4 linked regions of the Drosophila melanogaster genome follow. The protein of the gene in region 2 interacts with the protein of the main gene of each other region in a pairwise test. Each region holds a gene or a part of one and is shown on either strand. Other genes may lie near its edges.

Region 1 (6,014 bases), on a different chromosome or scaffold from region 2:
GTGGCTTGTGAGTGATTGATTCTCGCGGCACGATTGACCTCCAACTTGGCCAGGCGGCAAATCAATCAAAACTGGCTGCAAATGAATGATATTTTTTTCCCGACTTTTTTGTGCCATTTTTGGCGCATTTGTGTGCTAGTTTTCGTTTTCATTTGCATGAATTGGCGAAATCAAAATATGGCAAAGACTAGACACTAAAAACTTGGCATTGTTATGGTGGAAACAGAAATTACTGGCGAGATTTGCATAGGAATCGATCGATTGATGGGCGATCTCCCACTGGGCCTTAATGAGATTTTGGCCAACTGTTTTCATGGCTTACTCCAGTTATTATTTAACTGCCATTGTCTGGACGGTGTGTAATTGGCAATCGGTGTTTTGTTCGGGGGCTCGATCCAATCTTGAACTCATTTCGAAATGGAAAGTCTACTAGGGATATCATTATCTTATCGGGCCATTATTCGGCTGTTTTCTATCTAATTTGCCACGATTTTTTATGGCTCAGATGAGCAGACGGCAAGGCAATTGCCGTAATTCTTGTTAAATTTCAGCACCGATTTTGATTCTTTGAAGGCGGCCGCCTTTGTCTGATTCCGATTCGCAAATGCAAATATTTCCTATTGATTCAGATAGGCTATAAACTCATATACGTTTCATTTGGTATATTTGTAAATGTCTTTTATTGACAAATCACTGGAGCGACTGCAAGTTTCGTTTAGTCTTAAATAATTTGCATAATTCTTCGGCCCGTTTAGTTTAAACACCCCCCCCCCCCCTTTTTTTTTTCAAAAGCTCAAACTTAGAGTTATCTGATTTTTATCTATATTTAATTATTTACGATTGAAGCACAATGGTTCAGGGTCATTAATCAGAGCCGCAAAAGTCGGCGCTATAACCGCCTGGCTACGTGCTGGATTACTTCCATTATTCACTGAATGTATTCGATACGCAGATACTCGGATACTTGGATACTTCTATACTCAGTGCAGCTAATTCCCTGTAAGCGATCGTAAACTAATTTCGTTTAGAGCCATAAAATACGAAAGTTTTTCGTCATAATCGCCGTGAGTCGTGGGAATTACCTTACCATATCTCATCATATCTGTTAAATCAGTGGAAAACGGAAGAAGTCCACCCCCTCACCCAAAAGCTTACACTATCTGGAGGAAGTGGATGGGGCTTCCAGGGGGCCAAAGGGGGCCAACAGCGCTTTGTACTTTTGCGACTGTGTGTAAATATTTGACAACACATGCCTAATTAGTGCAGCTATTGATGGTGACAGGCGGAACAAGCACAACACACTTGTCGAACACCCAGCTCTTTTACGATGCCTTTTTACCCGGAATCGCCAATGTCTCGGGTTTCTTCGTCTGTACCTATGTATGTATATCTGTTTCGCTGAGGTTCCCGGAGTTCGATCCTTATCTCTGGGGGAAGGAAGTGTTCTGAGGAGGGCAGCTGGAGGCACTTAACACAGAGCTTTTGTTGAGCAAGGCTAGACTTTCTGCGGGAAACTGAACTTATCAATGGGCGTAAGGCTGGTAGACCAACGGTTGTAAAATGTTGAGATAAGGCAATAAGACAGGGAATGATAGGAAAATTTAGGAAGATAGCCTACACATCATAAAATTTATAAGAAAGATAATCAAGGCTCAAGATTATTGGTAATAAAAAAGTACGTATACTTTGAAAAATTAATTCATGGTAAATGAGTATGGCCTAAAAACTTAACCTATACTCGATAACTTTAATAACCACAATCTGTGCGATCAGTTTCACTCTAAAGTATTTATTGACATTCAGCAATAAACAGGATAAACAGTTCCTCGGAAAGACATATTACTCATACGTATGTACCCTTGCCGTTTGTAATTATGTTCTCATACTATCCAATACCATCGATCAATGCCACCCAGTCGATGATCAGGCTATAGCTATATGTATATATTCCCGGGTAGGAACCGTGTTGAAACCATCTCGTCAGTCAGTTGGGGACACTTGGCACATTGGCAAAGTGTTGGGGGCAAATATTTACCCAGAGCTTCGCAAGTAAGCGCGAGTCAAACAATTGAGGCAAACAAGCCGGGAAAACAGAAAAACAGGCTGCAAACATGGATATCGAAAGGAGGAGTGCGGATCGGATCGCATCGGATGGACTGTGATCGCCACAGTTTCCCTGCGGAACGCGTGAAAAGTGTGGATGAGTTCAAAAGAGTTAACCGACCGTGTATTTGAGAACGGCTTTAAGAGCCGAGAGTTCCTGCAGGTGATAACAAGATTTACAAATCGATTGTCGCATTTGACAAACAAAAAAAAACAAAAATGGGGAAAAAACGGCGAAGGAACCGAAGGAACACCTGAGGAAATCCAAGGTGTTAATCTCTGTCGAAACACACTCGAGAACACTCAAAAATTACGCAGTCCAACTCCTCATCTCAATCGATAATTGAGCTAATTTGTTTTCGGTTTTATTGTAATTTGTGATTGCCGCGTGCGTTTTATTTATACTCGTACTCGAATTCGTACAAAAATCGTCAAAAATCTGGTCTGTTCAAGATTTGCATTTTGATAAGCGGAAGTTGTTGGGCTTAAGGTGTTTTTCATGTGATTTGTAAGCTCTCGTATTTGTTGTGTGCTCGCTTATTGTTGTCAAATTTGGCTAAAATTAATTTGCAATAAAAGCGGCTTAATTAGCGCACTTTGGTACGTAAAGTTTTTTTTGTTTCATTTGAATTGGGTTTGACAAGGAACCTGTGATTGCAAATTAATTGGCTAATGATTACGATATTTAAACGCTTTGTGATGTGTTCATCCTTGTTTAAAGACACACATATTCTTTCTATAATAGTTGGATATATTTCCATTTGAATGTTGATCAAGCTAGGGAATTTTATTTAAGTGATTGATATTTGAAATTTCGACACTGCCTTTTATTTGATAGAAAATATCTATCTGCTATTTGGATTTTATTTATTACAAAAGATCAAGTTTTCTAGATCTTTTCGCTGGAATTTCCAGAATGTCTTAAGTAGCCTTTAATTAAATATTCTAGTAACCGAACTCACCTGCATCACCCAGTAGTTATTGTTGGCGGCAAACTGATCACCAATTATGATATCCGTATGCATTTAAGCGGCGTTTTTCGCATGAAGCTCCTTCACTCGACTGTTGGCCAGGTGGAATGCCTGGCGGGGGAGGGGATGCCACCGATTCTACCGATATTCTACCAATATTTAACCCGACAATTTGCAACTGGGCTCCGTACTTTTGTGTTTGCGGACAATTAAATGGCGCTGCTCTGACTCACGAGTCACGATCAGTTCAAGGCACAGTGATTAATCAATTTCGGATGCGAATTCAAAATCGTATTCGGAATCGAATTTCGGGATTATTATTGAATACTTCAGCTTGACATGGCACTGCGAGCAACAGACATTGCGGCACGTTTTCTTATTATTCAATTGCTTTTTGTTATTTGTTGTTAAATTAATTTAATTTGCAAGGATATGCAAATGAAGGCACTCGATCACTTTCTCTCACTCTTTTGTTTCCCTTTGTTTGCACACTGATTTTTTGTATCCTTTGCGTTAATTGCACAAAATTAATAAAAGCCGGCGGCTTTCGCTCACTTCCGCATTCGATGATGAGCTTCGGCTTGTATCTTATTTGTATCTGTATCTCTTGTTCCTCTCGATATGCTGTATATATGGGCAGTAAATTCGTTGCAATATTCTACAGATAATGGTAAGGCACTTGCGGGTTTCAATTTATAACTTATTTTCTGTGTTGCTTGAGTGGATATTTAGGCGATTCACGCGCTCGTCGGCGAAGTTGTTACTGCGCTGGCGGGAACCGAGTTCGTACTGATTGGACGAGCGCGGGTTTCGCGCAGACGAGCCTCGAAAGTCAGAAAGCCAGTCAGCTAGCTGCCGCTTAACCCCCGCCGCTTAACCCTCCACTGCCCGCTCTGTGCCGCTCTCGCTCACCTTTCGTATCTGTATCTGTCGGATACTCTGCTCACCAGGTGTTCCGCTCACCTGGTCCGCTCTCCGCCACTTTCGGCCCAGGTGATCTGTCGCTCTTATATCCGACTCTCAGGTGTGTTCCAGCCAGCTGATCTTATTGGAGACACTGGAGTATAAGAGCTGCGATCGATTTTAATTGAATGAACCGCCTGGGATTCGCCATTTTAGATTTGACCTGCGGTAGAGGTGGTAATGGGTGAAAAAGTAAGTAACCACGCTTCAGAAAAGATCTCGAAATAGGGCAAGGAGGTTAGAAATTAAAGTTTATAAGTCCCTTATGGAGTATTCAGTAACAAATAAATAAAAATTATTAATTTTAGAGTAATAATTTTATTATAATCCGATCAATTAGAATATCATTTAAATTTACAAAACTTTACAATTAAATGTTTATATAAATAAAATCTACATATATGGCTTCGATTTGATTTAATTGATTTCCGTAAAGAACTTTTATACGACAGAGTGTTTTTTAAGGACCTCGTTCTTTTTTTATAAGTTTTATAACTTAAGGTATAAAATTGGTAGCCTTTAAGGAGTAATAAATCAAAAACATACAAAGCATAATCCCCGAACAGAACCTCCCCCATTAAAACCGCTTTACTACACCGTTCATTAAGTTTGACACATTTTAGATAGAGCCTAAACAAAATAAAAACTGTCCAGCTAACACGCGAATCTTTCATAGACCTCATGCAGTTTTAGATGGTAAAAAAAAAACATAATTAAATAGAATTAAAGCATAAATTAAGTCAGCTTATGTGCTTTCTTTGGGGGAAATCAATAGAGCGACAATTAAAAGGTATCTGTATCTACATATTCCAGGTGGAAAGCAAAAGAAGAACGAGGACTGTCATTTCCCTGTGTAATTCCCTGAATCATAAAATTACCCCAACGCACGCCACACATAAAAGCCATTTTCATTTCGACTCATCCCCCTGGTTTCCTTATTTTTGGCCATTAGGGAGCCACAAGTTTATGTTTTCCGCGCGCGGGGGGGTAAAATGGTTGGTGCAGGGGGGCCAAAAGTATCTGAAATAACACGCAAACGTGGTTTTCTAAGGGGGTTTTTAGAGGTGTGGCCTCTCCGGATAGCGGCGCAGACTCAAAAGTCAGCCAATCGGCGGTCGACAAAAAGAGCGAGAAACACGAGATACAAGATACAACGAGTGAGCGGGACGGGGCATGCGGTTAGAAAGAGAGAGCGAGACACTTTTGCGTACACGGTGGCAGTAAGTGGAAAAAACAACAACAACGCTACACGCAGGTGGAAAAACAAAAACATCAACATACATGGTCAGATACGAAAGTATCTACACTCGCAGATACATTCGTCCATATTCGACGCCACCGATAATTGACTGTAGTATTCCCCGGCTTTCGCTATTGACTTCGTGCAAATTTGCCATTAATGCCACCGCAGACGTCTGCAGATACAAGCCGAGATACTCAGATACATTCGAATTTGTTTGTCTTCGCGCTTTTGTTTGCTCTCGAGCTGCTTGTCTTACGTTTGGCATCCGTGAGATATGCCAAAGACACATTTCCAAGCCCGTACTTGACTCCGTTCGCCGGTTGACAAATGCCAGCCAATTTATAACGCTTTTGGCCTAGAATGAAGCGGTTGAGTACGAAGATATGCGCGCTCTGGGGATTTAAATATGCATATTATGATTAAGGGGCTTTAGAATATCTATGGCACTGTAAATTAAATTATTAATTGAAGGGTACAACGAAAATGCGTGTTTTTCAGTTATTATGTTATAACTAAGTCAAAATAAGACACATCGCTATAAGAAGCACTGTTTTTTACACCCGACAACCTAAGAAGAAAACCCAAATCACTTTTTAAGAGTTTTTGAAAAAAAAAAAATTTACCCATTTTTCGACTTTTTTGTAAGGGGTACCATCATCAAAATTTTCGAAAATGGTCAAAAAAATTTTTTTTACACATTTTAATGGCAGTTGTTTTGTGTTTGTAAAGGATAA
Region 2 (4,279 bases):
GATTCCCCCACCACTGTTAAAAATTCCTAGTCACGGTTAAACAGTGTATTAAACTCTAAATAGGTAATGCATGTCACTTTAACATCTATTTTATTATCTACAGTTACGCTATACCTGAAATGCCTGAATACTTTTACATTAGGCTATCAATTGATTACTCCTTGGGCAACTTGTCAAGATCAATGCCGTCATCAATGGACACCCCTGTCGCCTGGCTCAGCTCCAGCATTTCCTTAACCTGGTGAGCAACCTCCCTGTCCACAACTTCTCCACCTCGATTCATGGTCCGTTCGATGATTTCCTCGTCAGACAGTTGCAAGGCGAACATCTCCTCGGGCGAGATGTCCAAGGGATCCACCAAACTCATGAGGAAACTGGCCGATATGGATAAGCTGTACGGCAGGAAACGCACGTACTCCTTCAGAAGCTCACCGCGACTAAGAAATAGCGTAATTAGTATTATATTATTTCTTGGCAGTAAAAAGCTTTACAGGATTATCTTATCTTATCACATCGAGCACCTAATGAGTATTTTTAGATTTTTGATTTGCATTCATATCGCTTGTTTGAAATTTTAAAAGCTTATGAATAATGAATAATAATAACAACTCACCTTAGGAAATCCGGAACCTCCTCCTTGGCGTGCTCCCTATAGCTATTATGAAGCGCCAAGGTGTATTCACAGAAGATGGCCTCGAAGTTTGGATCGCGTACCTCGGCAAAAATGGACACGGCTAGAAAGACGTTGAGATCGACCATGGGAGAGGAGACTCGCAATGTCTGGTAGTCGAACATCATGATCTCCTGCGGCTCCTCCTTGTCATCGTACCTGTACGCCACATTATTCCTCACATAATCGCCGTGGCACAGGGTGGCCAGTGGCTCCCTGGGCGCCACCCGTTGCCTACCGTATTGCGAATAGTCCGAGATCATGAAACAGAACTTCTTAACAAACTCCTCGTCGATCTGTGGCTGATAGGTGGCCACCGCCTTGGCCGCTCGATCGATGCTCGTTTTCATGGTGAGCTTCCATTCCGGATGAATGTTATCGTTGGCATAGCGAGATTCCTTCAGATTGTCAGTCAGCTGGGCAAACTTTTCCGGGTTCTTGTGCTTCATGGCGTACGCAAAGCCATGGAACCTTCCCAGGTAACTCACGGCAATCATGGCGTGCTGCAGACTCAGACCCACACGATCCTTGGTGACCCGCCATCCCTGCTCCGCGAAATTCTCCAGAATGGCCACAGCCGAATGCTGGTTCAACTCGCCGTAATAGTACTTGGGTGCGGCAAACTTGCCATCGGTGAACTTCTGAAACTCTGGCAGAATTTCCGTATAGAAATTTATCTCGTTGGTAAAAAGGGGCCCAAACTGTATGGATTCATACATTTCTGGTGGCATAGCAGGTGTTTTCTACAAAAAAAAAAAAAAACAATTAATTATTGGTATTCTGGGGTCATTGCATGCCAAAGTAAACTTCATCATTAGATGTGATTTATTTTGAATTCAAAATCAATTCGCTTTGTTCTTTTGTTGAGATGCCTCCCTCTATTTCACAATGTTTGCCATAAAACCCACACTCTCACTAAGCTATCTGAGTTTGCTGGAAAACAAAACTGGTAAGTAGTACGCAGTTAAGGCACTTATATAATATAATTTAAATTCCGCGAGTATAGTAAATCTTTTCGTTGTGTTTTTAGATATCCAGATAGATTGTTTAAGATTTATTTATACTATGTGAATGGAATAAACCTACCTTAACCACCATTTTTCGCTGAAACTTTTGCCCGTCGTATTCAAAATTAATGGTTGTCCGGTAGCAAAAAGTTAGCATAAAGGCCTCCGAGTGGCCAATTACATCAATGTCGATGTCCCCCACATGGAATGTGGTCACCTTGGACTCGCTGTAGTTGTCCACCAGGCGCCCGTTCCTCAGAATTGACGGAAGAACCGTGTATCTCAGCCATTGCCTCTCAGCCTCGATCTTCTCCATTTCGTCGGTACTGACGATCCCAACCGCTTCGCTTGTGGATAGCGAATGAGCATAAACCATTTCATATAGCTCATTTTGTACTACTCTCCAAAAGCTCATTCGTTGTTAGAGATTACACGATAAGAGCGAATTGGAAATGAAAAGCTTTCTAATCATTAAAAGCACTTTATGGTTTATAGAGAAGCAGTACCTACCTAATGATTAGCATGATGCAATTTGGCATGTTAAAATGATATGATAAGATATCATGACGCAAAGATAGGGGGATACGCTATTTATTAGTTTTAATTAGTTTTTTTTTTTTGTTTATTGTGTGCAAAGTTTAATGATTCCTTTGGATTAAGTTCTATTTTCCATAATCACAGGTATCGATATATTTTTAGTCAAAATTTCCAGTTTTAGAAAAAGCTATCCTACCGTTGCAGTTCGACTATCGACCAACTACCAATGGGCCTCAACTGGTATTTACTCAAAACGACCGGGTCAATGACCAGGGCCAACACCTACGTTCGAAAGTTCACGAATGGATCGCAGCAAAGTCGAGATATCAGCATGCCATCCAAAGTGCCAAAGAGGACAAGTGCTTCGATCAGGATCACGGATTTGGATAACATGTCATATATGTCCTCTTCTTCGCGAAAAGGCAAAATAACGAGCGGCCGACACGATCAGTTGAAAATGTCGAAGAATGCTCAACACGACGATGTCGTCTGTCCAATGCAAGCGAGTAGGAAGCCCATCGAGGAGCCCACTGTTCGGGATTCGCCACAAATGCGCGAGTTCTTCGAGGAAGTGCGTCAGCGAAAGCTCAAGGATTACTATCTTCAGATGAAGGCTGCACAAAGAAATCCAGCGATGTCCCATGTGTGTCCGGATTGTGGTTTTGTGAAGCGGGATAAGAAGGATCTCAGCAAAAACATTTACTGCACGGGGGATAAACGATTGAGGATAAAAGATTGTGATCGGCATGGGGATCTCACCTGGCTGTGGAACTCCTCCGCTGCATATCCTCACTCTGCACTTAGTTGTGGATGCAGCAGAGGTGTCTCCAGCCACTTGGAAACTTTAATCAAGCTGCACAATATAAAATGTTTAATTTAAAATTTGTAATTTTTGATATCTAGTTGCCAAGGAGTTTGCTGATAATACATCTGTTTTTCTCCGATATTTAGTTTCATTCTGCAATCCAAATCGTTCGTACCTTTCCGATTTGAACCCCACTCTTTCCACAATGTTTTCCGATCCCGCCCAGGAGTCGGTTGCCACGCAGACGGAGGCACAACCGGTTCCGTCGCCCATCTGCACCCCACTGCTGATGGTGGACGAGGATGGACGAAAGCGGTACTGCTACCATGGTGGAAAATGCAAGTGTGCCACTTGCGCACAAATTCGTGCAGAGCAGGCAGTGAAACTCGACCAGGAGCTGCTGTCCTACATACCGCACTCGAAGCTCCACCTGGAAGTTCCAATCCGAATGGCCAAGCCGAAGCAGTATCGCCTGGAAGCTCGACGGGCTACTCCCGAACTGGCAAAATTTCTGCGGGAGGATCACGAGAGGCTGAGGGCGGAGTATCCATCGTACTATCTCCCGGATCGATACTTTGGTAAGAAATTCTACGAGTTGCCAGGACCGCAGCACAAGGAGACCCAGACGGACATTCCGATTGGGCGTTACGGCATCGATGGTTGTCCCTGTACCAATAAATCGCTCTGCTATGACTTGTAATCCTGGGCAGGACTCAATTGGGGAAAAAAGAGTTTAATAAAAGTTCGGAATGTGAGAAGTATTTGCATGTTTTTCAATAAATCACTATAGTTAATTTCCCCGACTATCACATACCCATTACTCAGCTAGTAGGTGTGCAAATTAAATTTAATGTAAATAAATTGATTATCACTTATGATAATAGTTATGATACTCCTATTTCTTGGGTAATTTGGAATAGAAATCCTCCAGGAAATCCTTTAATATCAACTTGAACTTTTCGCCGTGCTTGGCCAATAGCAACTTGGCCTCACTGTCCTCATTGTCCAGCATCTCATCCGCTTCCTCCAGCACCTGAAGGTAATGCAGCCAAGCCGTTTCCAATCCCATAACCTGCTCAAATGTTTCCTCGCTAAGCTTCACCTGGTATTTGTGCAGCAGAACGAAGAGTTCCAGCATCGGAGTAAATGCGGACTGCTTCACTGGCACATCCTTCAGGAGTTTTTCAAAGAGCTGTTTGGCAGCCACCGTTTCACGGATGGTACGAGGAACCTTCATCACATTACGCTCGTTGCGTCGCA
Region 3 (5,260 bases), on a different chromosome or scaffold from region 2:
TTTCCCAGGATATTCTGGCGCGGCGAATCGAAGCGCATGAAATGGCAAGGACTTAGCACGCATTAAACAACATCAAAATAAACAAACAATTTCGCAGACAATTGCTTCGAGGCAGTTTGAAGCAGCCGCAGCGAATTGCGGTCGAAGGGAAGGGGGAATTTCGGAGCGGGGTGGGATTATCCTTGCGGAAGAGTGCTCGGTGCTTGGGTCGTGTGCCGCCACAGAGATTCACAGAATGGATTTGCTCTGGTTTGGATGCAAGGCGCTAATCGATATGTACCAGACAAGGGTCCTTCGTCCTGTCAGCCACTTCAACGGGGATGGTCTGCGGTTGATGGTTGCGTTTGCAACTCCTTGACACCAGCAATCTGTTTTCTTTATTTGGCCAGTGTGTGAGAACCATTTGATTCAATTATGCCGACTGACTGATCTTAGATAATCGGTTGGTTGTTCGCAAAAAAATCTAGTTAGAATATTTTAAGTTAGGAAAGTACAAGCATTAACTAGAAAGGTACTTGCATTTAAACATTAAAATCAACAGCAGATAGAAAACAAATTTAGTTTTAATCAGTTGATTAGATGATAATTGTATCTGATTGTAAATCACCAAGTTTAAGTGATTAGTTTTGTATTGCTATATTAAGAACTTATTTTGGCAGATAGTTAAAGTTCTAAGTCCAGTCTAAGCGCATAGGTCAAAATACGCAAGCATATAATATTATATTCCCACAACATTCCCATTCAAATGACCTTAACCCTAACTTACGTTTATAACCCTCAGTTAAATTGGCATGTTCCATACGGCTTAGACCTAAGGAACATTTCAAGTAATACTCTTATATGCAAATCAAATGGGTTTAGGATATTCAATCTATTTATTTTTGGTTTTCCCACAGTTCGTGATTTACACTTCCTTGGGTGCACTCGTTTGAAATGCGATAATTTAATTGTGGTGCGATGACAAGTCCACCTCAGTGGGTTATGGGTTAGGGTTAGGATTAGGGGAAGTACCGGTCTAAAGGGCGGCTTTCCTGCGGCAATTGCAAAAGTTAAATTAACAATCGTGTTTACATTGGTTGGTAACAAGATTTCACTTAAGGATGTCAGCTTTGTTCGCGGCACCACAATTCTATCTCCAGCTCAATCGGTCTGAACTCGAATTCTGCACAGGATTCGGGCACTTACCCTCCATCAAAACTGATTACTGTCATCAGAGCCCGGAGTTCTGGGTGCGAGGGGTGTACGAAGTGTGCGCCGACGCGTGCGACAAGCAAATTTGTCTGGTAATGAAAAGGTTTGCGCATCCGCATCCCTGACATATTGCCAGTCCCTTTGTTCTGCGGATCGGTCTGCTCGGGATTTTCGCGCCTCGGGTTAGGGCACGCGACCAGGTCGCCCGACTGGGCGGGGATTCTCTGACGTAGCTAATTTGCGAGCAAACCAAAACATCAAATAAACATAATTCAATTTCAACAATTGCCCCGTGACGACTGCTGACAAAGACTGCGGCTTCGAGTGGTTCCAGATCCCGATTCTGATCCTGATCCTGTTTCTTGTTCTGGTTAGGTTAAATGAGCCGTGAAATGTAGCGACCAGCTATCTGCCTTAGATCTAATTGCCCTGACTCTGCTTTGTGTCCTCGTCCCGTGGGAATCGAACTTTAGTCGAGTCAAATCAACAGGTCCATGGGCCCCTATTTTGTACTCCGATTACCAGCAGATTTCATCGTATATCCCTTTCCCCATATGGTTGTAAAAACTGATTTTAAAAGGGGAAGCGGGAGGGTTATCTGGGGTTAGGTTAGACGGGTCCCCCGCCTCCAGAAAGCTCCACTCGTCCTCCCCCATCATCAAAGCGGTGGACTCAAACATGGCGACTTCCTGCTGTGCGAAATATAATGGCAGAATGTCAAAAACAGGTGAAGGAAGCACAAAGCGAATGGAGCTGGATCTTAAAGGGGAGTGGCTGCAATGGTATTGTTTCGGCTAGCGAGACTTTAAGCTGTCCTACAATCAACGAACCAATTTTGTGCATTAAGGAAAATTATAAATAAATCGGGATATATATTTTAAAACACAATAAAATTACTTATTAACTTTTCTTAAAATAACTTTAAGCCAAAAAATTTAATAAGGATGGCTTGTATAAAACATGTTTCTGAACAAATATCAAAGTCATTCTGATTTCTAAGTAGACGGGCAAATCAACTACCATAATTAACTTGAAATCCAGATCTACGCCCAGCAATTGAAGGGTAGCCAGAGGCGAATAAGTCCAACGAATTTCCCACAGCATCCGCTCCATTTGCAGGGGCAAACACCCTGTACTTGGCAAGCTCCGCCCATCTCGTAGACGGCTCACGGTAACTGGCTGCAAGGACGTTTAGGGGTGGAAAGGTCCTGGCCAGAGTTGTGGCATTTCCAATTGGATCTGCGGCACTATAAAAGGCTCGCAATTCCCGGGAGATGGACTCACTAAAGTTTTTAACTTATTGGACAGCGGAAGTGCGTAAAAGTGTCGGAAAAGTTAATAGTCGTTCTAGATTTTAATTGGATTAATATTGTTTAGTGAAAAAATAACACATTTGATAAGAAAATGTCGCGAAATCAATTGCCGGATTCGTCGTCTTCACCGCCCATTAGGTACGGATGTTATATAAATATATATAAAATAATAAATATACTATAATAAATACGTAAATTATTCTCTGATTATAATGATAAAATTCGAAAATGTTTTAATGTACGACATAAACGAAAAACGTATGCATATTTATTTAATCAAATAACTGAATAATTGCTCATATATACAGTTTTATTTAATAAAAAATAAATCTATTTATTTACATAAGTATGCGCGCAGAAGTGGAGTCGCGCCCAGAATCTGAACTGACTTTCGTCAGTGCCGTCGGTATCTCGATTTGATTAAATACACGGATACAAAATTAATTACTTTAGACTTTACAATACAGTCCTAATCATCAAATGTTCAATTCTTACCTTTAACAGCCATTTACCCTTCCACAATTTCGACGATGATCTGATTAACGATTTGCCCTCCTGCATTTATGCGGGTCAGCATCAAGGCGGAGGCGCCACCGGTGGAGGTGGTGGATCGGGAGGTGGCGGTGGCAGTTCTGGGCTGCGTCTGAGCTCCAACAACCTGCGTCACATCCAGCAGCATTATATGCAACATAGCGGAGGTATGACGGAGAATAAATATATTTACGTCAAGACACCTTGAATATCTTTCTGAAATCCCTCAGAAAATCTGCTCGACTCCTCTACCAATCCAATGGGGGTGCACAATTCCGGGGGAGGAGCACCCTTAATGTGCAACAGCCCCAGTGCCAGCAGCAGTGGAGGAGGGTGCGGCAACGCAGGATCTGCTACTCCTGGCGGTGCAGGTGGTCCCAATCCTGGATATGGATCCGTGGGAGCTGCAACTGCGTCCAGCTACAAAATGCAGCGACAGGCGGCCAATGTGCGGGAAAGGAAACGCATCCAGAGGTCCGCCCCAACTGGGTACACCAAATGGTCTTTTCCATTTTACAACTTACTATCCCACGATCTCTTAACCAGAAATTATAACTAACAAGCTTTCCTTTTTTTTTTGTATTTTTGCGCTTTGCAGTAGCATCAATTCGGCTTTCGATGAGCTAAGGGTCCATGTACCCACCTTTCCGTACGAGAAACGTCTGAGCAAGATCGACACTCTGCGGCTTGCCATCGCCTATATATCTCTGCTCCGTGAGGTACTACAAACCGACTACGATCCCCTAACCTATGTGGAGAAGTGTCTGCGCGGAGAGATCAAAGCGGATAGGGCTAATTGGAATACGAGTGGTGAGTAGAGAATTTGGTCGGAATATCAATGGTCAATAAATGGTTCGCTTCGCAGATCTCACAGCTCGTCTGTCGTGGATCAACTGGGAGAACCTCGGAGTACATCCTGGTAGGCGAACCCTGCTTACCTCGTTGGCTCTCTCCTCGGAACCCATGTGCGGAGCTCATTGCGGAATGCCGTAGATTCGCTCTATATATTTGAGGCTTAGCCTATCAACTGCTGAAAGCACTTACCACTTAAGCTTCTGATCTTCCCCAAAGATTACAAAGTCTTCCCTTTAGGTTTTGATATCCCAAAATAGTTTAAGGCTGGACATATTTCTACAGTTACTAACAGTTAGCAATAGTATTTTATTTGAAAAGCGTCTCGGCTGCACGAAATACAAGACCCATCTGCCATTGAAGCCCACTACTGTGTTTAATAAATAGTTATTGGTTTCAAAGGCTCGCAGGATAATGCATTTACAAATCAATTCCTCAAATTATATTTCAGGATAAATCTTTTGTAAATAGTATTGAGTATTGGGCAACCGATCTGACAAACCGACAAACCAGTTGCAGCTAACAGACGTTTTACAGTTAGTCAACTATGTAACAACTTTAAAAGCATTTATATATATAAAAGTAAATACATGTTTTAACTAGACGTAGACATTAACATAGCTCCCTATCAAAGTACACATACTCGAAAATAAATACTTCTTTGATCAACAAGATAACTTAGAACACAAAATGTTTGTTGTTGGGTAAAAGGAGGGCTAAATGCGCTGCCGATGGTTAGGCATGTATGTAATTTGTATAATATTTATGTACTTGCTCTATTTGGACTACATGCGGAAGATATCAACTAGAAACTTTTGGCTACTACTCCTACGGCATACGTACGTAGGTACATATGCGCTTAAACTAATCTGTTCAACTCTGTTAAATTTCAAATTTCGCTTTGATAACTCGACCAGATTTCGTTGGCTAATACTCAAATTGTGTTGACCTTGGCTACAATGGTAATACAAATGCGCGCACATAAGTATGTACTAAATAGAAACGATTACATAATGCACACTCACAATAATGAACATAAACACAATGACACGGCTGAACTACGCTCCTAATAATTGAATTTTCGATTGCTTCTCCAATTTGTTTTTGGTTTTGTTGCTGTTGTTTGATCTATTGGTCATAGAGCCCTTTCCACACTGGCTCCTTAGGCCGGATTAAGCACGGCCACCTTGCGTAGGCTCTCTAGCTCGCTTCTCTTCAAACGCAGACTGAACATGGCCTCAACAAAGCCATGACAGTCCGTCACAATGTTGTCCTGGATCATGGTATCCCGGAATAGATTGGCCAGGGCAGCAATATCATCACAGCCCAGAATGGCGTTCTTGTGAGTGACGAACATGGTTAGGGCGGCACGA
Region 4 (5,052 bases), on a different chromosome or scaffold from region 2:
GATCTTATTATTATAATGCTTAATCCATTTGGCCAGATATGCGCTTGAAGTTTCTCACGCTGCTCATGCTGTTCGTCCTGTCCATATCCATCACGGTGACGACGTGTCGCTTTGGCTTCGGCATCCTGGAGGATAACTTTGTCGCCTCACTTAACACCACCTATCGCAGTTCGGCGCAGTTTATGTGCTTCTACGGACTGCTTAACTTTTACCTGTACACCATGGCGTATGTGTACTCGCCAGATGGACGGTTCGCCCAGGCGGAGCTGGCTGTCACCAAGGATAATCCGGCTATTTCCATGATCGACGATTCCGACGAGGATGTTGTCTACGGTTCCGACGAGGAGTCACGGCGACCGCTCACCTCTGTGGGCGGCGGTGCTGGAAAGAACGATTACGACAGCGATTGATCGGCGATTAAGAAGTATCCGCGGCAGAACGAATACCCAAATGTTCCATAGCGCAATTGAAGTTTTAGTGCTAAATGTGTACAAAGTATTCCCTAATATAATGCATAAATTAACTTAAAATTTCAAAAAATTAATCTCTGGTTGATCAATGAAACTGGAGAGGATCGAAATATGTTTGGGTATTCATGATTAAGCTGAATTCGAAATTTATGTTAAAAAAAAAGTATAAATAAACCCAATAGTTCGAGTTTTGTTGTATGAAAAGTATTTACAATCGATATTTACCATATTCGCTTTTTAACTAATTGGGTTCTGATTATTTTACTAGACTGTTTATTAGATAATTAACACATTTCGCCAGGTGATTTCAACTCGAAAGCATAGCAAAAACCCTCTAGATGCCCTGGTTGATGCCTATTTTCGTCTTGGTGAGGAGACCCTCGTCGCCCATGTCTGCATTGTAGCCAGGACGGTACTTCATGCCGGGAGCCTGTGTGCAAAGGGGCAGAATTAATGTGAAAAGAAATCGAACAGGGAAATGGAAACACCGAACTTACATTGAACCAGACATCACGCCAGACTTTGCCGTCGTCAGCGCTGCGCACCAGCTCCGGGACATCGAAACGCGGCACATTGAAGTAATTCATCAGATCGGGCTTCTCATGGCAGTACTTGATACGGGCTTCGCACCACTCGGCCTCCAGCGGGAAACGCCAGTCGAGCATCTTCTTGTTGTGAATATCGGCCTCAAACTGGTTGAAGTCGATGCGTTCGATATCCTCCACCACAACCTCAGTCTCACCGCCGGCTGTCCAGTCGTAGATGAGCAGCTCGGCATGGGTGGAGATGTCCTTGAGGTACTGCTGCTTGTACAGCTGCTCCAAATCGCTCAAGTAGGCATCGCTGAACACCTTTGACTGCACCTCGTAGTCCACATTGCGTGCCTTGATCTGCTTCTTCACGGCATCGACCGGCAGATCCAAGTAGATAACCAAATGCGGCTTCAGCAGCTCCCCGATGGTGTTCTGTCGGAGCTCATTATACACGGAACGCGCACCGCGTGACAGATAACCCTGCCGAAACATGGCCTCCATGAAGACAAAGTCCGAGTAGGGGCTGCGCTCGAGGACAACACCCTGGCCGGTGCTAAGGACGTGCTGCAGGGCATCAATGTACTGCGAATAGCGCAGCATGTACATGCGAATCTGGAACTGGGCAGCCAGATCGTGGCTGGGATCCAGGCAGAAGTTGCGCACATCGTAGCTTCGGCAGCTGGGCGGCAACTGAGGATCCAACTTCCTCATGTCATAGCCGTACGAATTGATGTAGATTAGGTCCAGATCAACTGCCGGATAGTACTCCATGTCCAGCTCCTCAGCCAGTTCCTTGGCGAACTTTGACTTGCCGGCCGCGATGGGTCCCTCCACACAGATCACCTTGGAGTTCTCGTCAAAACGCTTGGAGGTCTTGTCGAAAATAGCATTGAACACGCTGTACTTCTTCGTCTTGTACGGATAGGGGGCGGCCTTGGGCACCCGTGGTCCACCTCGCATCGTCTTGCCGGAGATGCTGCATCGCTGCTGGAAGGCAGCAGGCAGGGCATTCGTCTGCGCCTGGAGTAGATTGGGCGACTGTGTGGCGCGGCTGACGAGCCGCACCAGTCCTACGCGGAACACGGCGGTCATTCTGAAGGGAAAACAAGGGTCAGTACAAAAACGAAACAAGATAATAACAATTATATCTCGTCCAGTGGCAATTTGTCGTGTGGTTACATCACAGGAGCTACGCAGGTAGTGCGGTAATCTCTGCCCTAGAACTGCAGATATGCGGATCTTTTCGTTGCATTCTGCTGGCCAGCATTGCGGCGCTCCATAGATTTACCCAAATTGTCGGTTTTAATGCTCTATCCGGTGGTATTTACTCACTTTTCAATCTAAATATCGGAAGTCTACCCAAAAACAAATTTCGGGCTATGGTTGGTGTTGGAAAACTCCCCGAATAGGGCTGTCAAGGTATCCGTTCAAATATCAAAAATGTAAAATCAAAATGTTTGTCTATGCTTTAACTGCGACTTTTCTCAGAATCAGAAAGAATTTCATATGAAATGAAATTTAACCCAGTATTTTAAAAACTTTATATAACACTTACAAAATAACATTTTAATGTATAAATGTATTTGTTTTACTTTTTAAAAATATCGCAAAGCGACTGCTCAACACTACACAGCACAGCTGGGGTGTTTAACTACAAGTTAATTTACTTGAAATAAATTCAACAATGCTTTTCATTTGTAGACAGACACACACCATAAACTCACATTGCCGTGCGGTGCGAGTTGATTTTTTAAATTTTTAACTTAACATATTGTCACGGTGCAGAAACAACTGGTCCACTTTCCGTTGGTCTGGCAGCCCTGACCACAACCTCGCTGCATTTTGGGCTCAAAAGTTCTAACGATGAACTAACGAAAATATAAATCAAAATTTAAGGCGAAAGGCTCCAGGAGAAGATCGACAAATATCGAGAGTTGTGACCATTAGGATCGAGTAAGTCCTGGCGTTGGGGCCCAGCACTGGGAGTGTAACCCACTCCTTACAGTTACGCAACTGAGAACTAATGCGATTTTCCTCGTGACACAGATTTTGTTATTAACCAATCCCCAGCAGAAATGGGCAATACAGCCATCACCCGAGTGCAAATGGAGGCCACGAAGAGTGTGCCGGTGGACCACGCCAAGTACATGAGCGGCAGTGGTGCCCCGCCACCAGAATGCCCCATGCATCAGAAGCATGGAGATGCAAAATCGGCCTCCGCCGTACCCCCACATCCCAAGATGCAGGCCGCTTCCGAATGTCCGGTGCAGCACGACAACAGCGACGTTAATCCGCTGAATATGATGCCACCGGCAAACCAACAGCCGGCGGCAGATCAGCCCTTTCCACTGCCCACCGACCGCCAGACGTCGACCATTCCCAAAGTCACCGAGGATGGCAGCGTTCAATTCTGGCAGTATCCCAGCCAACAGATGTTCTGGAACGCCATGCTACGCAAGGGCTGGCGCTGGAAGACCGAGGACGTATCGCAAAAGGACATGGGCGACATCATACGCATCCACAATGCCAACAACGAGCAGGCCTGGCAGGAGGTACTTAAGTGGGAGGCGCTTCACGCCAAGGAATGCGGCAATCCGCGCCTCAAGAGTTTCGGTGGCAAGGCCAAGGACTTCAGTCCGCGCGCTCGATTCCGCAGCTGGCTGGGGTGAGTATACTCCAGACGGAAGATCTCACCTGAATTAATGTTCGAATTGTCTTACAGATACGAGCTGCCATTCGATAGGCATGACTGGATAGTCGATCGCTGCGGCAAGGATGTGCGCTACGTCATCGACTACTACGACGGTGGACTGGTGGACAAAGACTACCGCTTTGCCCTGCTGGATGTGCGCCCAGCCATGGACTCCGTGGACAACGTTTGGGACAGAATGCGCGTAGCTTACATGCGCTGGAAGTACGAGCTGTTTGAGAAGTTTGGCAGCGCGGATGGCGGCAAAGTGACCGCTGGTAGCGACTAGATGGAATGCATATTTAGATGATCGCTATAGGTACAAAATCGGCTTAAGTTATCGAATGGATGGAAGAGGGAGTTTGGTTAAATGCGTTTAAGACGCTGCGAAGCGAAACGATGTTGAGCCCTCTCTTTAAATAAATGTTGAATCTTGACTTCTGAACACCAAAATTCGAATGTGGTTTTGCTTTTTATTTTATTCTTTACTTAAATCCTTTTAAGGATTTCGAATTATCCAGTAACGAGTTGATAGCATTGTGGAGGAATATATTAATTAAAGTTTTTTTTTATTGATATACTTATGTATATGCAGAATTCTCATCTGTTCAAAATGCCTGTAAAAATTTTTTTTCTTAATCTTTAGTTTTATATTTTATTTATATGCTCTTTAAAATGATTGCGAAATTATAAAAATACGTTTACTACTTTTTTATCATTACTACAAATTTAAAAAATGTATAGTAAATAGAATATAACTTTAGACGTTTCTTAACTTTTTTAACATACATTTTCTGATAAAAAGTTGATATGCAACCCATAACATTATATGTATGTTTATATGTATGATGCTTTTCTAACACCTGCGGCTTCAGGGGGTTAATGTCTGGCAGTGTTGAAAAGCGCGTGTAAATTCTTTAACTGATTGCTGGTGCCCTCATTACGTGAGATTCGAGTTTGGCCACTGGAGCGTTAATTGGATAGCCGCGATAGATTCGTTCGACGTAAATCAGTCATAAATGCAAGCTGCCAGAATGAGGTTCGTTCAATACCTGCGAAAAGGTGACTTGGCCAAGCGACTTGGTCTACTGTCCGAGGATCAAAAGTCGCTGGTGGAATTTGCCGGCTTGGAGGGTGTGCCCAGCGATCTAAAGATCCTGATTGCCCAGGATCCCAATCTGGAGGAACTGGCGAAGAAGGCCGAAAAGCAGCCGCGACTCGAGGTGAATGATGATGTCACTTTGCTGCCGCCTCTTACCGATCCCGGCAAGATCATCTGCATTGGTAAAGAATGAATTAACATACATATGTATAAACATATGTAGTTGGACCCTGACCTTCAAAATGACGTATTCTCGAT

What was found.
Region 1: the proteins of CG30324 (region 2) and dar1 interact in a two-hybrid assay, tested with the Drosophila melanogaster proteins (one large-scale study listed by BioGRID).
Region 3: the proteins of CG30324 (region 2) and Fer2 interact in a two-hybrid assay, tested with the Drosophila melanogaster proteins (one large-scale study listed by BioGRID).
Region 4: the proteins of CG30324 (region 2) and Cchl interact in a two-hybrid assay, tested with the Drosophila melanogaster proteins (one large-scale study listed by BioGRID).

Annotation. Positions count from the first base shown.
Region 1 is NT_037436.4:3,624,196-3,630,209, reverse strand, and holds the start of dar1 (dendritic arbor reduction 1), read right to left. Parts: upstream 3,859-6,014; 5' UTR 3,129-3,858; coding exon 3,066-3,128; intron 1-3,065. UniProt on the Drosophila melanogaster protein: Transcriptional regulator which promotes dendrite growth by suppressing, either directly or indirectly, the expression of the microtubule-severing protein spas.
Region 2 is NT_033778.4:16,287,086-16,291,364, reverse strand, and holds CG30324 (uncharacterized protein), read left to right. Parts: upstream 1-3,131; 5' UTR 3,132-3,224; coding exon 3,225-3,719; 3' UTR 3,720-3,779; downstream 3,780-4,279. Other genes in the region: JhI-26 (juvenile hormone-inducible protein 26), read right to left, coding at 155-437, 614-1,413, 1,757-1,993; CG30099 (uncharacterized protein), read left to right, coding at 2,441-3,094; CG9068 (uncharacterized protein), read right to left, coding at 3,915-4,279.
Region 3 is NT_033777.3:16,148,556-16,153,815, reverse strand, and holds Fer2 (48 related 2), read left to right. Parts: upstream 1-2,503; 5' UTR 2,504-2,595; coding exon 2,596-2,642; intron 2,643-3,008; coding exon 3,009-3,202; intron 3,203-3,265; coding exon 3,266-3,536; intron 3,537-3,633; coding exon 3,634-3,845; intron 3,846-3,900; coding exon 3,901-4,028; 3' UTR 4,029-4,447; downstream 4,448-5,260. Other genes in the region: CG5916 (uncharacterized protein), read right to left, coding at 5,050-5,260.
Region 4 is NT_033777.3:22,025,064-22,030,115, reverse strand, and holds Cchl (cytochrome c heme lyase), read left to right. Parts: upstream 1-2,635; 5' UTR 2,636-2,956; intron 2,957-3,049; 5' UTR 3,050-3,078; coding exon 3,079-3,668; intron 3,669-3,725; coding exon 3,726-3,981; 3' UTR 3,982-4,141; downstream 4,142-5,052. Other genes in the region: CG13409 (uncharacterized protein), read left to right, coding at 37-410; ND-42 (NADH dehydrogenase (ubiquinone) 42 kDa subunit), read right to left, coding at 805-900, 968-2,095; CG6028 (uncharacterized protein), read left to right, coding at 4,712-4,976.